Saccharomyces cerevisiae S288C: one gene and its partner. The protein of the gene in region 1 binds, or shares a complex with, the protein of each later gene. Each region holds a gene or a part of one and is shown on either strand. Other genes may lie near its edges. A codon is read from its position in the direction of its gene.

Evidence for each region. The genes of interacting proteins can lie anywhere in the genome.
Region 2: the proteins of STU2 (region 1) and TUB2 are in contact, whole or in part, in a crystal structure (PDB 4U3J), measured with the Saccharomyces cerevisiae proteins. Residues at the interface, in NP_013146.1 of Saccharomyces cerevisiae: Ser339 (codon at 5,256), Trp341 (codon at 5,262), Arg344 (codon at 5,271), Ala384 (codon at 5,391), Asn385 (codon at 5,394), Ile386 (codon at 5,397), Gln387 (codon at 5,400), Lys425 (codon at 5,514), Lys427 (codon at 5,520), Lys428 (codon at 5,523), Lys469 (codon at 5,646), Thr470 (codon at 5,649), Pro471 (codon at 5,652); in NP_116616.1 of Saccharomyces cerevisiae: Tyr106 (codon at 2,236), Thr107 (codon at 2,239), Glu108 (codon at 2,242), Ala110 (codon at 2,248), Glu111 (codon at 2,251), Asp114 (codon at 2,260), Lys154 (codon at 2,380), Glu157 (codon at 2,389), Pro160 (codon at 2,398), His195 (codon at 2,503), Ser400 (codon at 3,118), Glu401 (codon at 3,121), Gly402 (codon at 3,124), Glu407 (codon at 3,139).

Annotation. Positions count from the first base shown.
Region 1 is NC_001144.5:232,385-241,944, reverse strand, and holds STU2 (Stu2p), read left to right. Parts: upstream 1-4,241; coding exon 4,242-6,908; downstream 6,909-9,560. Other genes in the region: FRE8 (putative ferric-chelate reductase), read left to right, coding at 538-2,598; YLR046C (uncharacterized protein), read left to right, coding at 3,132-3,944; PDC1 (indolepyruvate decarboxylase 1), read left to right, coding at 7,864-9,555.
Region 2 is NC_001138.5:54,416-58,626, forward strand, and holds TUB2 (beta-tubulin), read left to right. Parts: upstream 1-1,920; coding exon 1,921-3,294; downstream 3,295-4,211. Other genes in the region: ACT1 (actin), read right to left, coding at 272-281; Rab family GTPase YPT1, read right to left, coding at 951-1,571. UniProt on the Saccharomyces cerevisiae protein: Tubulin is the major constituent of microtubules, a cylinder consisting of laterally associated linear protofilaments composed of alpha- and beta-tubulin heterodimers.

The sequences.
Region 1 (9,560 bases):
CAATTTCGCCTTGGTAAATTTTTCAAAGTAGGCGGAAAATTAAAGTAGCGCCATTCCCATAAAGAAGTGACAAAGGCCTTTAAGAAATAGGTAAAATTGTCATGAATGCATGGGTTTACATTTTATATGTACGGATGTAAAAAGGGAAATATTAAAAGTGTTGAAAACGTAATGCCCAAGCTCTTTTTTGTTATTGAAAAAGAAAAAGGGTGCAAATAACATGTATGAACTACGCATGGCAGCCATTATGCATGTAAAATAAGTAATAAAATTTAAGTTTAGGGTAAAAACGTTTGGTGGTATCCGTTATGGAAGATTAACACTCTGTACAGCCTCAATTTCTTTTTTATTTCCCTTCAAATTTAGGTGGAAAAAGAAAAAGCTAGTGTTGATCTCTTATTTTTGCCAAGCTTTTAATTATCACGTTGCCACTTTAACAGTTTTATTACATCTACATCTCTTCAGATTAAATCGTTAAATTACAATAGAAGTTCCGCTAAAAAAGTTTACTGTATTTTATTTATTGTTATTTTCAGCATGAATTTAAAGTCCATCGTTAGCTGGTTCAAGGAACATCTTCCCAGTTTTGATGTCGACGTGGACAAGCATTTTAGAACTTTAAGAGTCCGCAAATATTCTCAGATATGTCTTTTAATTTCTTTCATTATAATATGTGTTATTATACCCTTAATGAATTATTTGTTGCTAACTGACAAATTCTTCAAAATATGTCACCATTTAAAGCATCATGTTTTCAACAGAAGATCATGGGTTCACAAAACACATATGTATCACAAACAGTCACTACAACTATGTTTAATATGCTTTGTTTTCACCTCGTTTTTTGTTATACAAGGCGCTAACGGAGATCTGTTAGAAATTACTAAGCGAATGGGGAGAATTTCCGTTGCTTTGATGCCACCTTTACTATTTCTAACGTTGAGGCCATCACCGTTACCTCACACGTTATACTTAGCATTGTTACCTCTCCACAAATGGATTTCCAGAATTGTTGTGCTTGAATCTATTCTACACACGTGGTTCTATCTCTATTACATGTACATTAATGATACGTTATACGTGAAAATGAGAAAACTACCCAACATTTATGGGGTTATTGCCCTCGGCCTTTTCCTACTGATTGCCATCACCTCTGTGAGATATGCCAGACGATGGAGCTACAGAGTTTTTTACTATGTTCACTATGTAAGCACATGGCTTATTTTGGTGTTTCTACATTATCACGCTCGCCCAGGAATTTCATATTATACCACTTTAAATGTGCTCATATTAACGGGACAAATCGTCTATAGGCTCCATATCACCAATGTTACGAGAGTTACGATAGTACCCATTTCTTCATCATTGTCTCTTTTGGAGTTCCCATTAACCGATTTACCCAAAAAGCCCATCCTACCAGGAGGGCATCTAAGGATCAACATTTACCATAGAAATTTTTTAAGGAGGTTTTTCTCCCATTTGATACCCTTCCAACATCCTTTTACTATTGCTAGTATTCCAAGTGATAATTTGGTCAGGTTAATTATTAGAAACGGGCATTTTCCATTGCGTACAAATGAAAAGTATTACATTACAGGGGCTTTTGAACCTGAGTTGAGTTTCATTTCTAAACCTACTGTTCCTTTTAATATTACCACGAAATCTTCCAAGAATCCATTTCGAAACAATTCTTCTGCACTAATAAATTCGCCTTTAAATTTTCTAATTAAAGCGCAAAGAGTGTTTATGTGTGTTGGAGGTTCAGGAATTTCCTTTGGCTTACCACTACTTCGTATTCTAAACTTCAACGGTGTAAACGTTAGGCTCCTTTGGGTTTCTAGAGATTATAAGGATCTGGAAGTATTGAACCACTTCAAAAACAATTTTGAAGGTATGGAGATATATATTAGTGGCACCGAAGGCAACGAACAGGACATAGAAATTGATTATATTGACTATCATGACTGCGCTGCTGATATTAATGATGAAGTCAGGAGTATTTCTTCGAGCGGCCGAGTTTCAGAACTGGGAGATAATTCCATGTTATCAGATGGAAATCCCCAACCTACGGAGCCCAATGAGAACACAGCCCTTCTAAGTAAGAAATCTACCTTGAGAAACCATCACCCACCAAAAACAAGTGATATACCTGACATCAATGCTGATGACGAGATAGATTTTACATATGCTTTTAGCAGATCCAAATCAAGGAAAAATACTGCACAAGGAACTCTAACTACACATTCTTCGTTTAACGGATCGAGCGTTTTCAGACAACCAAAGATCATTGAGCCACCTGCCCAAGATCCTTGTTTAGAGGCGGCGCCTAAAAAGATCAGAATTCCCGCAGGTGTTAAAGTGTTCTTTGGCAGGCCTACACTTGGAGATAAGGATTATGAATGGTGTCTGCAAACCGAATGTGATGCAGAGACGGATTCTATTCAATGTTGCAGGTGGGCGAATCAAGGCAGAGACCATGCTGAATATTTGTCACAAGTATGGGTTCTCGCTGCAGGCCCTAGAGGCTTAATTGAAAGCACCAAAAGATGGGCGACAGATGGTGGTTTACACTTTCACGGAGAAAGTTTTGCATTATAAGAGTTGCAAGTTGGCTATTAGTTTATGAGGCTTGGAAAATTCACGTATTTGATGGTGGCATATCTATAATGTCCCGTTTTGCTCTTTAATCTTACTGTCAAAAAAGGGCCCTATGTACGATCTTTTCTAACTGATTTTTTCCGAGAAAAGTTCCGCAGGCTGATTTAGTTTTTTTCTGGTGGTTGTCAAGCCTCTCTCCACTTGGTGATAGTTGCGAAAAATGACAGCGGATATTAATGGATATTAGCGGGAATAAGCACATTTCCATATTGATTATTTGTATGTCTAGCAACTTATAAGATGAATTATAAAAGGCATATAAGTTCTTCTTGGTACTGAATACATGACACTCTCACTACTGTACTAGAGACTTATTGTCGATAAAAGAACTCAACTGCCTCAATAGGAATTTTTTTACTAAAGCAATCACTGATTATGAAGGTTTTTATGCATACAATCCTCACAAAGGTGCAGCGATTGCATTTGTCGTTCTGTTTGGCATTTTAATCCTTTCTGCCTTGGTGCAGATCATAATGGCAACACACACGAGCAAGAGACGTATTCATCGCTGGGAAAACAATGAGTTGTCAGAGGAAAATTCCACAATAATATACTTTCCTGCCCGCGGTTTGATGTGGACACATTTTCCTTTCGTTTTAGGGATTTGTTTAGAGTTCGTGGGTTATGTGTTGAAAATAGTCTTTATCAATAGCCCCTCGATTTCGACTTTCATTGCTCAATCGGTGCTTCTATTGATAGCACCTTCACTTTACGCCCTTAGTATTTTTATGTTGTTCAGCAAAATGGCACGTCTAATTCTTATGGAGGCATATATGTTAATTCCTGCGAAATTTAGTACAGTTTCTTTCGTAGTGGCAGATATGATTGGGCGTGTCCTACAGGCTGTAGGAGGTGGGTTGTTATCCTCATGGAACAGCAGGAATACTGGGCGTATCCTAATTATTGTGGGTCTTTTCATTCAGATATTTTGTTATACCTTTTTAACGTTCAGTCAACTTTTTCTTCACTATAAAATGAAGGCAACGCCTAGTAAAATTGTGCGGGATAGTAATGAATGGTTCCAGTACAATTTTATACTTTTAGCTGGGATATTGCTGGTTAATGGTAGAACCATTGTCAGAGTAGTACAATTTCTAATGGGCTTACAAAGCTATATAGGTCAGCACGAATGGTGCCTTTACGTTTTCGATACAGTTCTAATGTTTTTACTACCTTTGATTTTCCTAGCAACCTTTCGCGCAAGAAATTTGTTCAAGCTGCAGGATAAATCTGTCAATATTCAATTAAACAAATTATTAGACAAGGAATCTGTGTCTGAAGATTAAGTAGTCAAAAATTTATTAATTAAATAGTTGGATAATATTTGTGCTGGGCATTAGAAGTCAATCTTGTCTTTTCCTTTATATGGTGCAAAGATTATCATGGTTAACGAATCTATTTTTTTTCGTGTCGTTTTTGTTTTTGTTTTTGTTTTTGTTTTGTCTGCTTGACACTCCATAGGAAGAGTAAATGAAGAACCTACCAGACCTAGGGACCAAATAGCATTACTAAACTACAAAGAAACAGCTATCTTTACAGTGTAAAGTATTTTTGAGTTTTTATTAAAGAGTTTGAAGTTGACTATGTCAGGAGAAGAAGAAGTAGATTATACAACGTTACCCCTAGAAGAGCGATTAACGTACAAGTTATGGAAGGCACGTTTAGAAGCTTATAAGGAGTTAAACCAGCTTTTTAGAAACTCCGTTGGCGACATCAGTAGGGATGACAACATACAAATTTACTGGAGGGATCCTACATTATTTGCACAATATATAACTGATTCTAATGTGGTCGCTCAAGAACAAGCCATTGTTGCCTTGAATAGTTTAATAGATGCCTTTGCGTCATCGTCTTTGAAAAATGCACATAATATTACTTTAATATCAACATGGACACCATTGCTTGTGGAAAAGGGCTTAACGTCCTCAAGGGCTACAACGAAGACGCAGTCGATGAGCTGTATACTCTCACTATGTGGTCTTGATACATCTATTACGCAATCGGTGGAATTGGTAATACCCTTTTTCGAGAAAAAACTGCCAAAATTAATTGCTGCGGCAGCCAATTGTGTTTATGAGTTGATGGCTGCATTCGGGCTCACTAATGTGAACGTTCAAACGTTTCTACCAGAATTATTAAAGCACGTACCTCAACTAGCCGGTCATGGTGATAGAAACGTTCGATCACAAACGATGAATTTGATTGTCGAGATCTATAAGGTTACGGGCAACAATAGCGACTTGTTAGAGGAGATACTGTTTAAAAAATTAAAACCAATTCAAGTGAAAGATCTTCATAAATTGTTTGCAAAAGTTGGTGACGAGCCATCGTCATCGAAAATGTTATTCGAGTGGGAGAAAAGAGAATTGGAAAAGAAAAGAAGCCAAGAGGAGGAAGCCAGGAAAAGAAAGTCCATATTATCGAATGATGAGGGGGAATATCAGATAGATAAGGATGGAGATACATTGATGGGGATGGAAACGGATATGCCACCATCAAAACAGCAAAGTGGAGTTCAAATAGACACCTTCAGTATGCTACCGGAGGAGACGATCCTCGATAAACTGCCTAAGGACTTCCAGGAAAGGATAACGTCGTCCAAATGGAAAGATAGAGTGGAAGCGCTGGAAGAATTTTGGGATAGTGTTCTATCGCAGACTAAGAAGTTAAAAAGCACCTCGCAAAATTATTCCAACTTATTGGGGATATATGGCCATATTATCCAGAAAGATGCAAACATTCAAGCTGTTGCACTAGCCGCTCAATCAGTAGAATTAATCTGCGACAAACTAAAAACACCAGGCTTTTCCAAGGATTATGTTTCACTAGTCTTCACTCCCTTGTTAGACAGGACAAAGGAAAAGAAACCTTCTGTGATAGAGGCCATTAGGAAGGCATTATTAACCATCTGCAAGTATTACGATCCATTAGCCTCCAGTGGACGCAATGAAGATATGTTGAAAGATATTTTGGAGCATATGAAGCACAAGACACCTCAAATCAGAATGGAGTGTACGCAATTGTTTAATGCAAGCATGAAAGAAGAAAAAGATGGATACTCGACCCTGCAAAGATACTTGAAGGATGAAGTGGTACCAATTGTGATTCAGATCGTCAACGACACCCAACCTGCTATAAGAACTATTGGATTTGAGAGTTTCGCCATTCTAATTAAAATATTTGGCATGAATACCTTTGTGAAAACATTAGAGCACTTGGATAATTTGAAAAGGAAAAAAATTGAAGAAACGGTCAAAACTCTACCTAATTTCAGTATTGCAAGTGGTAGTACCCATAGCACTATTGAAACGAATAAACAAACTGGGCCAATGGAGAATAAATTTCTCCTGAAAAAAAGTTCTGTACTTCCCTCCAAGAGAGTGGCATCTTCACCGCTGAGAAATGATAACAAAAGTAAAGTGAACCCAATAGGGTCAGTAGCCTCCGCATCAAAACCATCAATGGTAGCTGCTAACAATAAATCGAGGGTCCTGTTGACGTCTAAGTCTTTGGCAACGCCAAAAAACGTAGTAGCTAATAGCACTGACAAGAATGAAAAGTTGATTGAAGAATACAAGTACAGACTGCAAAAACTACAAAATGATGAGATGATATGGACCAAAGAAAGACAAAGCCTATTGGAAAAGATGAATAATACAGAAAATTATAAGATCGAAATGATTAAAGAAAACGAAATGCTAAGAGAGCAACTAAAGGAAGCGCAGTCTAAATTGAACGAAAAGAACATTCAATTAAGATCCAAGGAGATTGATGTCAATAAGCTGTCTGATAGAGTACTGTCACTAGAAAACGAGCTTAGAAACATGGAGATCGAATTGGATAGAAATAAGAAAAGAAATGATACAAACTTGCAATCGATGGGTACGATTTCATCATACTCCATACCTTCTTCCACCGTGTCAAGCAACTATGGGGTAAAATCTTTATCTTCCGCTTTGCCATTTAAGGAGGAGGAAGATGTCAGAAGGAAAGAGGACGTCAACTATGAAAGAAGATCAAGCGAGTCCATCGGCGACCTGCCGCACCGCGTAAACTCTCTTAACATACGGCCGTACAGAAAAAACGGCACTGGAGTGAGCAGTGTCTCCGACGATTTGGATATCGATTTCAACGATAGTTTTGCCTCAGAAGAAAGTTATAAACGTGCCGCTGCAGTGACATCTACCCTAAAGGCCAGAATTGAAAAAATGAAGGCCAAATCAAGGCGGGAAGGGACAACCAGGACGTAAAGGGTAGCCTCCCCATAACATAAACTCAATAAAATATATAGTCTTCAACTTGAAAAAGGAACAAGCTCATGCAAAGAGGTGGTACCCGCACGCCGAAATGCATGCAAGTAACCTATTCAAAGTAATATCTCATACATGTTTCATGAGGGTAACAACATGCGACTGGGTGAGCATATGTTCCGCTGATGTGATGTGCAAGATAAACAAGCAAGGCAGAAACTAACTTCTTCTTCATGTAATAAACACACCCCGCGTTTATTTACCTATCTCTAAACTTCAACACCTTATATCATAACTAATATTTCTTGAGATAAGCACACTGCACCCATACCTTCCTTAAAAACGTAGCTTCCAGTTTTTGGTGGTTCCGGCTTCCTTCCCGATTCCGCCCGCTAAACGCATATTTTTGTTGCCTGGTGGCATTTGCAAAATGCATAACCTATGCATTTAAAAGATTATGTATGCTCTTCTGACTTTTCGTGTGATGAGGCTCGTGGAAAAAATGAATAATTTATGAATTTGAGAACAATTTTGTGTTGTTACGGTATTTTACTATGGAATAATCAATCAATTGAGGATTTTATGCAAATATCGTTTGAATATTTTTCCGACCCTTTGAGTACTTTTCTTCATAATTGCATAATATTGTCCGCTGCCCCTTTTTCTGTTAGACGGTGTCTTGATCTACTTGCTATCGTTCAACACCACCTTATTTTCTAACTATTTTTTTTTTAGCTCATTTGAATCAGCTTATGGTGATGGCACATTTTTGCATAAACCTAGCTGTCCTCGTTGAACATAGGAAAAAAAAATATATAAACAAGGCTCTTTCACTCTCCTTGCAATCAGATTTGGGTTTGTTCCCTTTATTTTCATATTTCTTGTCATATTCCTTTCTCAATTATTATTTTCTACTCATAACCTCACGCAAAATAACACAGTCAAATCAATCAAAATGTCTGAAATTACTTTGGGTAAATATTTGTTCGAAAGATTAAAGCAAGTCAACGTTAACACCGTTTTCGGTTTGCCAGGTGACTTCAACTTGTCCTTGTTGGACAAGATCTACGAAGTTGAAGGTATGAGATGGGCTGGTAACGCCAACGAATTGAACGCTGCTTACGCCGCTGATGGTTACGCTCGTATCAAGGGTATGTCTTGTATCATCACCACCTTCGGTGTCGGTGAATTGTCTGCTTTGAACGGTATTGCCGGTTCTTACGCTGAACACGTCGGTGTTTTGCACGTTGTTGGTGTCCCATCCATCTCTGCTCAAGCTAAGCAATTGTTGTTGCACCACACCTTGGGTAACGGTGACTTCACTGTTTTCCACAGAATGTCTGCCAACATTTCTGAAACCACTGCTATGATCACTGACATTGCTACCGCCCCAGCTGAAATTGACAGATGTATCAGAACCACTTACGTCACCCAAAGACCAGTCTACTTAGGTTTGCCAGCTAACTTGGTCGACTTGAACGTCCCAGCTAAGTTGTTGCAAACTCCAATTGACATGTCTTTGAAGCCAAACGATGCTGAATCCGAAAAGGAAGTCATTGACACCATCTTGGCTTTGGTCAAGGATGCTAAGAACCCAGTTATCTTGGCTGATGCTTGTTGTTCCAGACACGACGTCAAGGCTGAAACTAAGAAGTTGATTGACTTGACTCAATTCCCAGCTTTCGTCACCCCAATGGGTAAGGGTTCCATTGACGAACAACACCCAAGATACGGTGGTGTTTACGTCGGTACCTTGTCCAAGCCAGAAGTTAAGGAAGCCGTTGAATCTGCTGACTTGATTTTGTCTGTCGGTGCTTTGTTGTCTGATTTCAACACCGGTTCTTTCTCTTACTCTTACAAGACCAAGAACATTGTCGAATTCCACTCCGACCACATGAAGATCAGAAACGCCACTTTCCCAGGTGTCCAAATGAAATTCGTTTTGCAAAAGTTGTTGACCACTATTGCTGACGCCGCTAAGGGTTACAAGCCAGTTGCTGTCCCAGCTAGAACTCCAGCTAACGCTGCTGTCCCAGCTTCTACCCCATTGAAGCAAGAATGGATGTGGAACCAATTGGGTAACTTCTTGCAAGAAGGTGATGTTGTCATTGCTGAAACCGGTACCTCCGCTTTCGGTATCAACCAAACCACTTTCCCAAACAACACCTACGGTATCTCTCAAGTCTTATGGGGTTCCATTGGTTTCACCACTGGTGCTACCTTGGGTGCTGCTTTCGCTGCTGAAGAAATTGATCCAAAGAAGAGAGTTATCTTATTCATTGGTGACGGTTCTTTGCAATTGACTGTTCAAGAAATCTCCACCATGATCAGATGGGGCTTGAAGCCATACTTGTTCGTCTTGAACAACGATGGTTACACCATTGAAAAGTTGATTCACGGTCCAAAGGCTCAATACAACGAAATTCAAGGTTGGGACCACCTATCCTTGTTGCCAACTTTCGGTGCTAAGGACTATGAAACCCACAGAGTCGCTACCACCGGTGAATGGGACAAGTTGACCCAAGACAAGTCTTTCAACGACAACTCTAAGATCAGAATGATTGAAATCATGTTGCCAGTCTTCGATGCTCCACAAAACTTGGTTGAACAAGCTAAGTTGACTGCTGCTACCAACGCTAAGCAATAAGCGAT
Region 2 (4,211 bases), on another chromosome or scaffold:
CGATGTTAGTACATGAGACTTAGTAACAGTAGCAAATAAAAGAAGAATATCACTATCACTTATCACGAAAATATTTCAGTTTTTTTTTTTTTTCCAAATTTCAAGCCCCTATTTATTCCAATAATATCGTGGTTATTACAGATCAGTCAATATAGGAGGTTATGGGAGAGTGAAAAATAGTAAAAAAAGGTAAAAGAGAAATCTCTCGAGCAATTGGGACCGTGCAATTCTTCTTACAGTTAAATGGGATGGTGCAAGCGCTAGAACATACCAGAATCCATTGTTAATTCAGTAAATTTTCGATCTTGGGAAGAAAAAAGCAGTAAGCGTGAAAAATCTAAAAGCTGATGTAGTAGAAGATCCTATTCTTTAACAAAGATTGACCTTTTCTTTTTCTTCTTGGTTTGAGTAGAAAGGGGAAGGAAGAATACAAGAGAGAGGAAAAAAAGGAAGATAAAAAGAGAGCGTGATATAAATGAATATATATTAAACAAGAGAGATTGGGAAGGAAAGGATCAAACAAACCCAAAAATATTTCAAAAAGGAGAGAGAGAGGCGAGTTTGGTTTCAAAACGGTTTATTTATTTATGCAAGAGGACGTGGAAGAAAAAGAAGAAGGAAGAAAAAAATTTGAAAGAAAAAAACGCGTGGCGGGTAAAGAAGAAAATGGAAAATAGAGGCCGGGTGACAGAGAAATATTGAGGGTTAATTGGAAAATATGTTAGGGTGAGGCATATGTTTTTAAGGGTTTTGAGGATCCGATAAGGAAGAATGTAGGTTAAATGTTGTGCATTAATTGCTGTGGCAGCTTACCCGCTTCCCCACACATTTTGGTAGTATCTGTCCTCTTGTTATTGTTACTGTAATTGTGTATATATGTTCTCGCGTGTGTCTTATTTACTTATTTAGTTATTATATTATATGGGTCTGCAAGGTAGAGGCGCGCTTGTTCAACAGCAGCCCCCACCGGTGTTGGTTAAACTCTGTCCCTTCAGGTTGACGTTCCCTTTGTCTTCCTTCTTCTGAGTGGTTTCGTTCAGGTTTTGTTGGGACATACTTTCCTTGATTTGTCTAGCCATGGTTAAAAACGCATCCTCGACGTTGGTGGAGTCCAAAGCACTAGTCTCTAAGAACGGCATCTTATTCGCGTCCGCAAATTCCTTTGCCACGTCATATTCCACGACACGCTTGTCCTTTAAATCACACTTGTTACCTACCAATAGCTTCAACACTGTTGAGGTTGCATACCGATCAATCTCTTGCAGCCACATCTTCACGCCGTTGAAGGATTCTTGGTCAGTGACATCATACACGATAATGATCCCATGCGAACCACGGTAGTAAGATGAAGTGATAGTACGGAAACGTTCTTGACCTGCAGTGTCCCAAATCTGTAGCTTTACAGTCTTGCCGTCCAGTTCTACAGTCTTAATCTTGAAGTCCACTCCAATTGTGGAGATGTAGTCGTTGGTATATGTGTCGTCCGAAAACCTCAAAAGTAAACAGGACTTCCCGACACCGGAATTCCCGATCAACAGCAGTTTGAACAGGTAATCGTACTCGCTATTCATATTAGTGCTTTTCTTGTTTTATTTATTTCAACCTGGGCCTAACAGTAAAGATATCCTCCTCAAAACTGGTGCACTTAATCGCTGAATTTGTTCTGGCTTCTCTTCTTTTTCTTTATTCCCCCCATGGGCCAAAAAAAATAGTACTATCAGGAATTTGGCGCCGGGTCACGATATACGTGTACAGTGACCTAGGCGACGCCACAAGGAAAAAGGAAAAAAACAGAAAAAACAACAAAAACTAAAACAAACACGAAAACTTTAATAGATCTAAGTGAAGTAGTGGTGAGGCAATTGGAGTGACATAGCAGCTACTACAACTACAAAAGCAAAATCTCCACAAAGTAATATAATGAGAGAAATCATTCATATCTCGACAGGTCAGTGTGGTAACCAAATTGGTGCTGCATTCTGGGAAACTATCTGTGGTGAGCACGGTTTGGATTTCAATGGGACATATCACGGCCATGACGATATCCAGAAGGAGAGACTGAACGTGTACTTCAACGAGGCATCTTCTGGGAAGTGGGTTCCAAGATCTATTAACGTCGATCTAGAACCTGGGACGATTGACGCAGTACGCAATTCTGCCATCGGGAATTTGTTTAGACCTGACAATTATATCTTTGGGCAAAGTTCTGCGGGCAACGTGTGGGCCAAGGGTCACTACACAGAAGGTGCTGAGCTTGTAGACAGCGTCATGGATGTTATTAGACGAGAGGCCGAAGGATGCGACTCCCTTCAAGGTTTCCAGATCACACATTCTCTTGGTGGTGGTACCGGTTCCGGTATGGGTACGCTTTTGATCTCGAAGATTAGGGAAGAGTTTCCTGATCGTATGATGGCCACCTTCTCCGTCTTGCCCTCTCCGAAGACTTCTGACACCGTTGTCGAACCATACAATGCCACGTTGTCTGTGCACCAATTGGTAGAACACTCTGATGAAACATTCTGTATCGATAACGAAGCACTTTATGACATCTGTCAAAGGACCTTAAAGTTGAATCAACCTTCTTATGGAGATTTGAACAACTTGGTCTCGAGCGTCATGTCTGGTGTGACAACTTCATTGCGTTATCCCGGCCAATTGAACTCTGATTTGAGAAAGTTGGCTGTTAATCTTGTCCCATTCCCACGTTTACATTTCTTCATGGTCGGCTACGCTCCATTGACGGCAATTGGCTCTCAATCATTTAGATCTTTGACTGTCCCTGAATTAACACAGCAAATGTTTGATGCCAAGAACATGATGGCTGCTGCCGATCCAAGAAACGGTAGATACCTTACCGTTGCAGCCTTCTTTAGAGGTAAAGTTTCCGTTAAGGAGGTGGAAGATGAAATGCATAAAGTGCAATCTAAAAACTCAGACTATTTCGTGGAATGGATCCCCAACAATGTGCAAACTGCTGTGTGTTCTGTCGCTCCTCAAGGTTTGGACATGGCTGCTACTTTCATTGCTAACTCCACATCTATTCAAGAGCTATTCAAGAGAGTTGGTGACCAATTTTCCGCTATGTTCAAAAGAAAAGCTTTCTTGCACTGGTATACTAGTGAAGGTATGGACGAATTGGAATTCTCTGAGGCTGAATCTAATATGAATGATCTGGTTAGCGAATACCAACAATACCAAGAGGCTACTGTAGAAGATGATGAAGAAGTCGACGAAAATGGCGATTTTGGTGCTCCACAAAACCAAGATGAACCAATCACTGAGAATTTTGAATAATTAAGTTGCTTTCCTTTCTTTTTCTTACCTTTCTTCTTCTCTAGGATTGAAGCACTTGGAGCAAAATAAACAAAAATCAAAAAAACTAATTAAATATCTTTAAAATATTACCGTACGAAAAAATTTATACCATTCCCTACTGAAGTATGTAATTCAAAATATATATATGTATATGTATATGTACATATATATGTATATACTATCTTAACAACCTTTAACCTTCCGAGCTATTGATTTTTGATCCTCACTTCAGCGGCTAAAAAAAAAAAAAACACCCCGAGTATTAGTGAATATAGATATATATATATATATATATATATATAAGGAGGCCGATAAAAAAGAACTTGCAATATTACGCAGATCAGGGATTTACTAAAAGAAAAGTAATAAAGGACTGCTGCTTCCAAAGAAAGAAGATTACAACATGTTGATGATTGTGGAAGCGGTGCTTATGGTATTCTACCTGTTTCCCCAGAATTTTGTTGAGAACTAATCATGAACAAAAAACTGTGTTTTATATTGTGATTTCCATAATTCCATTACAATTTTGTACCAAGCATAGGTCTGATTATCAACAATACGCTGCTTCAGTCCTTTTATTTAGCAGTACGTTGCTTGTTATTCCTTCATCATCTAGCCGCCATAGTTGGAACCCCGCGTGAAAAATGATATACATTTCGTATTCAGTGATCTGGGGTTGCATGAATAAAAATTCTGGGTAAATTGTGGGTGGGTACACTTTGGCAAAGGCTAACCCCGAATTTTTCATTATTTCGGTTTTTTTTCTTTTTAATTTCAAGAAAATGGAAAACTTTAAGAATAACGACGTTGATTTTAGCCTCTCCGTGAAGATATTGGTAAAAAGATAGGTGTCGTCGATTATAGCCACCAGCTTTTACAAAAGATACCACCAGCTT